Kluyveromyces lactis: one gene and its partners. The protein of the gene in region 2 purifies or fractionates together with the protein of the main gene of each other region. This does not show direct contact. Links are inferred from orthologs where the notes say so. Each region holds a gene or a part of one and is shown on either strand. Other genes may lie near its edges.

The links.
Region 1: the proteins of RIO1 (region 2) and CKA1 purify together in Saccharomyces cerevisiae (affinity purification with mass spectrometry; 3 studies listed by BioGRID, with this or other methods). This does not show direct contact. The link is inferred for Kluyveromyces lactis from reciprocal best matches to the Saccharomyces cerevisiae genes RIO1 and CKA1.
Region 3: the proteins of RIO1 (region 2) and RPS20 purify together in Saccharomyces cerevisiae (affinity purification with mass spectrometry; 3 studies listed by BioGRID). This does not show direct contact. The link is inferred for Kluyveromyces lactis from reciprocal best matches to the Saccharomyces cerevisiae genes RIO1 and RPS20.

Annotation. Positions count from the first base shown.
Region 1 is NC_006041.1:381,258-384,513, forward strand, and holds CKA1 (casein kinase 2 catalytic subunit CKA1), read left to right. Parts: upstream 1-1,616; coding exon 1,617-2,738; downstream 2,739-3,256. Other genes in the region: CAP2 (F-actin-capping protein subunit beta), read left to right, coding at 358-1,197.
Region 2 is NC_006041.1:1,885,537-1,888,632, reverse strand, and holds RIO1 (protein kinase RIO1), read right to left. Parts: upstream 2,182-3,096; coding exon 601-2,181; downstream 1-600. Other genes in the region: RTC5 (Rtc5p), read left to right, coding at 1-548; KEI1 (Kei1p), read left to right, coding at 2,506-2,541, 2,657-3,096. UniProt on the Saccharomyces cerevisiae protein: Required for the final endonucleolytic cleavage at site D converting 20S pre-rRNA into the mature 18S rRNA. Required for the final steps of cytoplasmic maturation of the 40S ribosomal subunit.
Region 3 is NC_006042.1:2,371,774-2,373,744, reverse strand, and holds RPS20 (40S ribosomal protein uS10), read right to left. Parts: upstream 1,026-1,971; coding exon 672-1,025; downstream 1-671. Other genes in the region: KLLA0_F25520g (URC4/urg3 family protein), read left to right, coding at 1,590-1,971. UniProt on the Saccharomyces cerevisiae protein: Component of the ribosome, a large ribonucleoprotein complex responsible for the synthesis of proteins in the cell.

The DNA of each region.
Region 1 (3,256 bases), about 1.5 Mb from region 2:
GATGACAGGACTGTGAAGATGATTGCAGAAGTCACGTGTGTGAGATGCAGATATTCATCCAACTATCCGAGGCAGCTGCCGATAAATGGCTAATAGTATTACATTAATGCATTAAGTAGGGGGTACTGTATGCAATTGACAAAGCTTTTGTTTCCATGCTTCTACTTTATTTTACTAGTGTAAGCGATACTGGCAATGTCTCTCAATAGAAAAATATCATCGATCGTATTGAAAGGAAAACTACGAAAGAAATCATTAAAGGAGTAGAAAGGGTAAATGTAAATACATCAAGCAAACTGAAGAAAACTCATTGAGCGTGGTAACTAGTTGTAAATATACTGAAGATACGGAACTAGAATGTCTGTGGACGAGAAATATGATGCTGCTTGCGAGCTTTTATACAGATTGGATCCAACAAAGGTGAAAACCCATTTACAGAACCTTATTGCGTTGGAGCCTGAAATCGCAGAAGGATTACTTTCCTCAATTGATATCCCATTGACCATTAAGAAGGATACCGATGCTAACAACAAAGAATTCTTATGTTGCGACTACAACCGTGACATCGATTCTCATAGGTCACCGTGGTCTAACCAGTACTTCCCTGAATTGAGTGCCGAAGATTTGAAAGAAAGTCCTTTTCCCAGTGAGCCATTGAGAGAACTAGAAGTTGCATGCAACAATTCTTTCGAGTTGTATAGGGACCTATACTACGAGGGTGGTTACACTTCAACGTATCTCTGGGACGTTGATGAATCAACTGATTTCGCGGGAGTCATTCTTTTCAAGAAAGCTGAATCAGATGATTCTAAATGGGACAGTATCCACGTCATATCTGCCACCCACGATGAAGAGGGTATGGAAGTCACATATAATGTCACTACAACGGTGATCTTGCACTTGGAAAACCTATCAAAAGAACAACAACTATCATTGTCCGGTAATCTAACTAGAGAAAATTCCAAGACCGTAAAATTGCAAAACGTATCTACTGTTGAACAGCTAGTACCCGCTCACTCTTCCAGCTTGGGATCTATGATTGAAGATATTGAATCTAAGCTTAGATCAATGCTCGAAATCGTGTATTTCGAAAAGACGTTGGATATTTACAACGTGTTGAGAGAACGTAACGATGATTCTACCAAATTGCAAAAGGAGCAACACTCCGAATTAATTGAAAACTTCCAGAAATTATAATCAATTGAATAAATAAAGTAAGAAATTATACACACATACACTACGTATAAATGCTAAATGAACACCATTATATTTTGCCGGTTCGTCAGTCAACACAATTATTGGCTAGAATTGTTCTATACATAAAACCGTTACCCTAACTCCTCATACTGTAGTTTCGAAATGTCAATTTTTGCAAGAGAGACATGAACTGAAAAGAAATCAGATAACCCAGAAATGAAAATTCCAGTTTGAGTATAGGCATTACAAAAGCTTCAAACGTACTGGATTATATACGGTGAGTGGTTTGGATTTCTCGGACTCATTATTACCACTGTTTATAGAAATAGAAAAGGTCAACAAAAAACTGGCTGGCAATCGTTCTCGTTGTTAATTTCGTGGTAGTTTTAGAGACTTTCCAGTACATTATTAAAAGGAAGATGAAATCGAAAGTGTGGAGTGAGGCAAGAGTCTATAGTGATGCCAACGAGATTCGTGGTCAAAGATACTGGGACTATGAAAATACATCAATAGAATGGAAGGCTAATAACTCACAGTACGAAGTTGAATGCAAAGTTGGCCGTGGTAAATATAGTGAAGTTTTCCAAGGCGTACAGTTATCCACGAGAAATAAGATTGTCATTAAGATGCTAAAACCTGTGAAGAAGAAGAAGATTAAGAGAGAAATTACCATACTTGCAAACCTCTCGAATGAGAAGAATCCGCCAACTGCGCAACCTTACGATGAGGCAAAATATTACACAAACAGAAGAGAAGAAGTACTGAAATATGCGAGAGATAAAGTATATGACTTACCTCATAACGGGCATGAGAATATTATAACATTGTTAGATGTGGTCAGAGATCCCATATCCAAGACACCTGCATTGATTTTTGAACATATCGACAATACGGAATTCCGTAGGTTGTATGCTTCATTTTCGGATCTTGATATTCGTTATTATATGTTCGAGCTTTTGAAAGCTTTGGACTACTGCCATTCGATGGGTATTATGCATAGAGACGTCAAACCACACAATGTAATGATTGACCATAAGCAACACAAATTGAGACTAATCGATTGGGGTTTGGCTGAATTTTATCATCCATCGATGGAATACAATGTCCGCGTTGCGTCAAGATTTTTCAAGGGCCCAGAACTTCTAGTTGATTATAGAATGTACGATTACTCGCTAGACTTATGGTCATTTGGAGCAATGTTAGCATCAATGGTTTTTCTGAAAGAGCCTTTCTTCTATGGGTCGAGTAATACTGACCAGCTAGTCAAGATTGTACGCGTCTTGGGTAGTGATGATTTCGAAAGATATTTACAGAAATATCAGATAACACTCCCAGATGAGTTTATTGATATGGATCAATACATCAGAAGACCATGGCAGAAATTCGTCAATGATTCCAACAAGCACCTATGTGGAAACGATGATATCATTGATTTAATCGATAATCTTCTTCGTTACGACCATCAAGAAAGATTTTCTTGTAAAGAAGCTATGGCTCATCCATGGTTTGCTCCAATTAGAAACAACGAATACACATTATAACCGTTCCATAGATCAATATTTTTATGAAGTTAATAATAATAATAATACTAATAACAACTGTGTGAGCTTTCCTATAATAAGTGTTGGAGGATATATTTTGATCGGGTGCTTCTAAATCTACGAATTTATTATTGACATTCATTGAGAAAGTTTTCAGATGTTGTGGAACTGTTTTGATCCTGAAGCTGAGCCCAGTCAAGCATTTGAAATTCTGCAATGAACGTTTTGTCTTTCAACATCAATAACTCACTCTGAACATACCTCTTGCTTTGAAGGATATTACATCCGTCACAATGAACTTCTCTGCAGTGTTCCAAAATCGATGACAAAATCTGTAGACAGAATCTGAATGCTAGTCCGAAATAGGGAACAATAGGAATTGTTAATCTTTTTCCGAACTTCATAAGATATTCCCACCTTTTCTGGAAAATAACGTGAAAGGCAGAATCCGTTCCTGCCTTTAAATCACTCCAAAATGTTTGTGAATCCAGTAATTTCTCTTTGATCAATAGTTCCAT
Region 2 (3,096 bases):
AATTGTTATTTGCTGTTTGTATTCGCGACCCATGGAAAGTATCAAATAAAGATTTGTTTGGTGATTCGTCTACAAAAATTATCCAACTTCATCCAAGACAAGAGATCTTCGATGCGGACCCATTCAAGACAGGAAACGTATATTTCAACACTGTTGGGGGAGGTATAGGTATTGGTAGCTCTCAACCTATCATCAAAGCTAACGGTAAAAAATACTTCCCAGGAAATGTTTCACTTACTATTGATTCATCTCTCGAGTTCGGTATATTTAGACATTTGGGAGCAGGTGGGAGTTTTAAGCCTGGCCGTCTAATAAGTGGACGTGGAGAAGAACGGAATTCGTTCGAATACCGATTCATAATCCAAGATGTAGAAGTGTGGGGATGCGGAGGAGAAAAAGAGCTCGAAGAGCAAGTAAAGCAATGGCAATGGGAAGAGGCCGAAGCCAAAAGAAGGCAAAAGATCAACTTACAAAGCATGGGAGAAGATCGTGCATTATTGGAAATGGCAGGTCTTGTAGGGCAACATCAAAGCGGTGGATCTATTTAAAATCGCTAAGTAAATATTAAATATTTGAAATTGCATAGAATTTTTAAATTGATCATTTCTTGCTTTTCGTCTTGTTAATGAGCTTTTTCTTAACGTGTTTTTTTACTTTGGTCTTCCTCTTTTCACGTTTGGCCTCTTTTGTTTCTTGCTTACGTTGTTTTTTAGCATCTTTATCTTCGTACTTTTTTCCTTTCAGTGGAGTGTCTTTATCGGAGACCCATCCATCACCATCAGAACTATCGTTAGTTTCATCACTATCATCATCTTCATCTGATCCAGCTATGTCATCTTCATTGATATCCGTTACGAGGTTAGGGAGATCATCACCATCTACGTCATCTTCCTCGTCATCAGAAGAAGAGAGTTCATATTGCTCCGATGCTGTGAAATTTTCGGAATATTTCCTGTTTTCATTAGCAATTAATGATTTCAGTAGGTCAAATTTACCATCAGTGAATCTATCAAAATCTCTTTCCTCTAAACCACCCAAATTTCTTATCAAATGTAAAGATCTGAACACTTCATCTTCAGCTTCGTCTTCATCAGTCAACTTTAGAGGTAAATTGTCGGCAACATATGTTTCTAGATCATCGCTTGATCTGTAATCACCCTTGAATTTGTCTAAGACCTCACTGATGATGAACTGGAAGATCACCCGTTCAGGGAAAATGTCAATTCCCAATTTTTGGAAATATGAGTTAACATTCTTAATATCCATTCTTAGGAAATCTAGAGACATAGGATGTTCTGGTTGTACGGATTGCGAAACATCAATAATATAAAGCTTATCCTCATGTACAATACTATTATACTCACTCAAGTCTGCATGAACTAAGCGACATACCTGATATAACAGTCTCATGTACGCTATCATTAAATTGTAGTAATGTTTAATTTCTTCTCTATCTTTGTAAGGATGATCTTTAAGCCTCGGAGATGCGAAACCATCTCCTCTATTTAAAAATTCCATGACTAAAACGTTTGATCTAACTTCTATTGGTTTTGGACAAGGTATGACACCGCTTTGGTATATTCTCTTCAAGTTTCTAAATTCCTTTTCAGCCCAAATTTTGATCATCTTACGAGGATTATGTTGAGATCTCGAATTTCTGAATCTAAATTCACCATCAACGTATCTTTCACGATCCTTAAAAACCAAGATAGATGTCTTGTAAATCTTCACCGCGTATTCCTTCTTATTTTTTGGTTCATCAGTGGCAGTTGAAGTGGATGTGGCATCCTCAGATTCGGCAGTTAGAGCTTTTTGTTTTGTTGATTCAATATTTTGTGGGGCTCCTATTGTATCATCATGTCCCTCTACCAGCAGATGTCTCTCCTCATGATTACCAGCAAACGCATGGTACACGTTTGCTTCTTTACCTGTACTCAAACAACCATTAAATGCTGATAATATTCCCCTGTTCATCATGGATTTCAAAAACCTCATCGTACGTGGGTCTAAAACATTCTCTACAGTGGCCCTATTCGCCTTATCTTTGCTGGTTTTACCCCTAGTTAATGATAACTCATCTGTTTTGATGCTATTGGCATACCTCTCTAGGATCTGAGTGTTGACATGCTCATCACGGTTGGCTAAATTCAGTTTTTCCAGCTTATCGTCAATATTCATCATTCGTAGTCCAACTATAGATAACTTCTGCTTTCTGATTTACTAATTTGACAATACACAGGAGCTGAACGGCGTATATTGTTCTGTAAATAACCACTATTCCAACCTCATCGCTCATCTTGTACACCATTAAAGTAAAGTAGCGTACTTTTTTTTTTCCTACGTTTTTTTTTCACGATGCTCTAGACAGGATCGCGAATTGCTTTTCAATAGAGGAAATAGTTGTAAACATTCTAAAACGCTCAGTAGATGAATTGAAAGGTCTACCTGTGTAAGTGGAAGAAACCAACTTGCTTTAACGTCAGGGTTTGTCCTTATTATACTCCTATGCAGCAGCAATCAAATATGGTTCATTTGCCACAAGTATGTTTCTTTTGGGTATTTAACCGCAGTTGAAAGACGTTTTTACATGATCGTTTGATGCATGGTTTTTTTTTGATACCAGTAATATGTACTAACAGATGACATTGCCCTTTAGACATTCCTGTCTTATCCCTTGTACATAGGTGTTGAGGTTGCACTTGGTGTGCTAACCTTCAACAAATTCAGCGGGATGTATGGTGTTCTTGCACTTTTCACTGGACACCCGTTAGACTTTGTGCAATGGACTTTTTACATCTGGTCAATTTTCTGTCTAGTGGTATTCATTTCAGGAATAAGACAAGTTTATAAGCCCAATATCCTCTTAATGTCCACGGTTACTTTTGTGTTCAGTGTGGACACAATTGTTAGTTGCATTTACTGCTTATGGTTCACTGCTGTGTGGTTCAGCCAGGAGGGCTCCACTGACGTTACGGACTTGAAGAGCGCGGGAACCGCACTTGGACCAGCTCATGAGGGAACCACATCCACGATCTCAACTAAAGTAGATACTTCTAAGAGTGCTTCTAGCGGCTATGAATTTTTCCTCATCATATT
Region 3 (1,971 bases), on a different chromosome or scaffold from region 2:
ACATTTGAAAGAAAACTTCAAAAAAAAAAAATTCGAAAAGAAAAAAAAAAACACATCCAAACTGGCGTTCATGAAATTCTTACATGAATTAGGGTTACAAAGTGATGTGGAAGAAAGGCCATTTGCAGAAGTCTCTGCTTCGAGTTGTCAGCTTGAATGCCTTGCTTTGAAGTCCCATGATTAAAATCATATTCCATTAAAAAAATATGTACGAATTATACACAAAGGATGGAGGGCACTAACACATGACAACAAAAAAGTTACTCATTCAAGCAACCAATAAACCAGACAGTAACCAAACAAATATGAGTGAGATGTTGGTAGAGGATATGATTATTTTTTAACCACTGATAGTAGAATAGAGGTACACGATAAACTACCCTACCTAGAGTGGGTTGTCATTTTTTGAAGTGTCAGAAAAAGGTTCCATCCTATATTGAACACAATTGACCATACTTTATAGGAGTCTTACTATAATCTTAGAGAATGAGGATACAAGAGCTTTCTTGAGACCTGGATATCGAATAAAAGTAAAATAAAAAAATTTGAATTCAAGGTATGTCGGTAGAAAACTCAAAGGATGTGCAGTAAATCTGGTCAACACTTTAGTTTCCTGCCCGTTATTCATTGAATGCCAATTTGATATTGACAATACATCATTATCGGTGCGTTTAGGCAGCGATGATGACTTCGACATCCACACCAGGTTCAATGGTGATTTGGGTGATTCTCTTGACGATGTGAGCTGGAGCTTCCAAGTCGATGTATCTCTTGTGGATTCTCATTTCGTAAGTATCCCAAGTCTTAGAACCTTCACCGTTAGGGGTCTTTCTGGTGGAGATCTTCAAGACCTTAGTAGGTAATCTGACTGGACCCTTCTTGACCAACTTGAAAGTTTCAGCATTCTTGATGATGTTGGCAGAAACGTTTTCCAATTGCTTGACCTTAGTGGAGGTCAAGTTAATTCTGATCTTGTGGATCACAACTTCTTGTTGTTGTTCAGATTTCTTTTCAACTTGAGACATCGTGTATACCTTTTAGTTTTATTGGTTTCTTATGACATGAATAGACTTAATATCTAATTGTAAGTAACCTTAACAATACCATGCTAATGCTCATCTATCTTGGAGAGCTTAGAATTTCAACTTCGGAGCACTAGCTTGTCGACATCATAGAACATCATGAAATTTTCATATAGTATTCTGTTTTAGGAAAGAGAGGATGATTATATCAAAAAAGTAGAATCCCATGGCATATATGTACGGGTGTATAAAGAATGAGCAGTCCCCGGTAATATCCGTCGGAGGTGCGACGGAGATTCTTGAACATTAAGGATCAATCGTTGCCAGAATAACGAAACAGGTCAATTGCAAAAGATAAGAATGCCTTTTTTGTGCAAACTAACGTTCCAATACACTTAGGATTGAATTAAGGATAATGTATGTGTACCATCCACGAAGTATATAAATACACTCATTAGTGAATGAAATAGTTCTATCCCAGTTGATACTTCGCTTAAACTAATTCTGATGGCATTGTATATTATCTCCCGTTGAAACTGTCAAAAACCAACATACTGGCTATTTATCATGACACACACAGAATGCGAAGACTTGGAGTACTTAAGATCCATTCAATCCGTTAGGGAAACTTGTAAGAAAGTATACGGCCCCCCTTTGCAAACAGAAAATGGTGACAGTACACATTTTGAAGTGGATCTGGGTAAAATGTCGAAAGTGACAGATTACTTGGTCAATATTATTGAAAGAGATTACAAGAACCTAGGCGATATTCCTGTTCATGGAAGATGGCAACATTTAAACTGTAACGGTATTGATAGAATGGGATCTCTCATTAATTCCTGGGCTGCCCAGAACATCGATCCTTTGGAGGTATGCAGACGGTTGATTGATTTGATAACGTTTAGTGTGATTGTCGATGCTGGTGCAGGTTCAGAATGGTCTTTTGTTG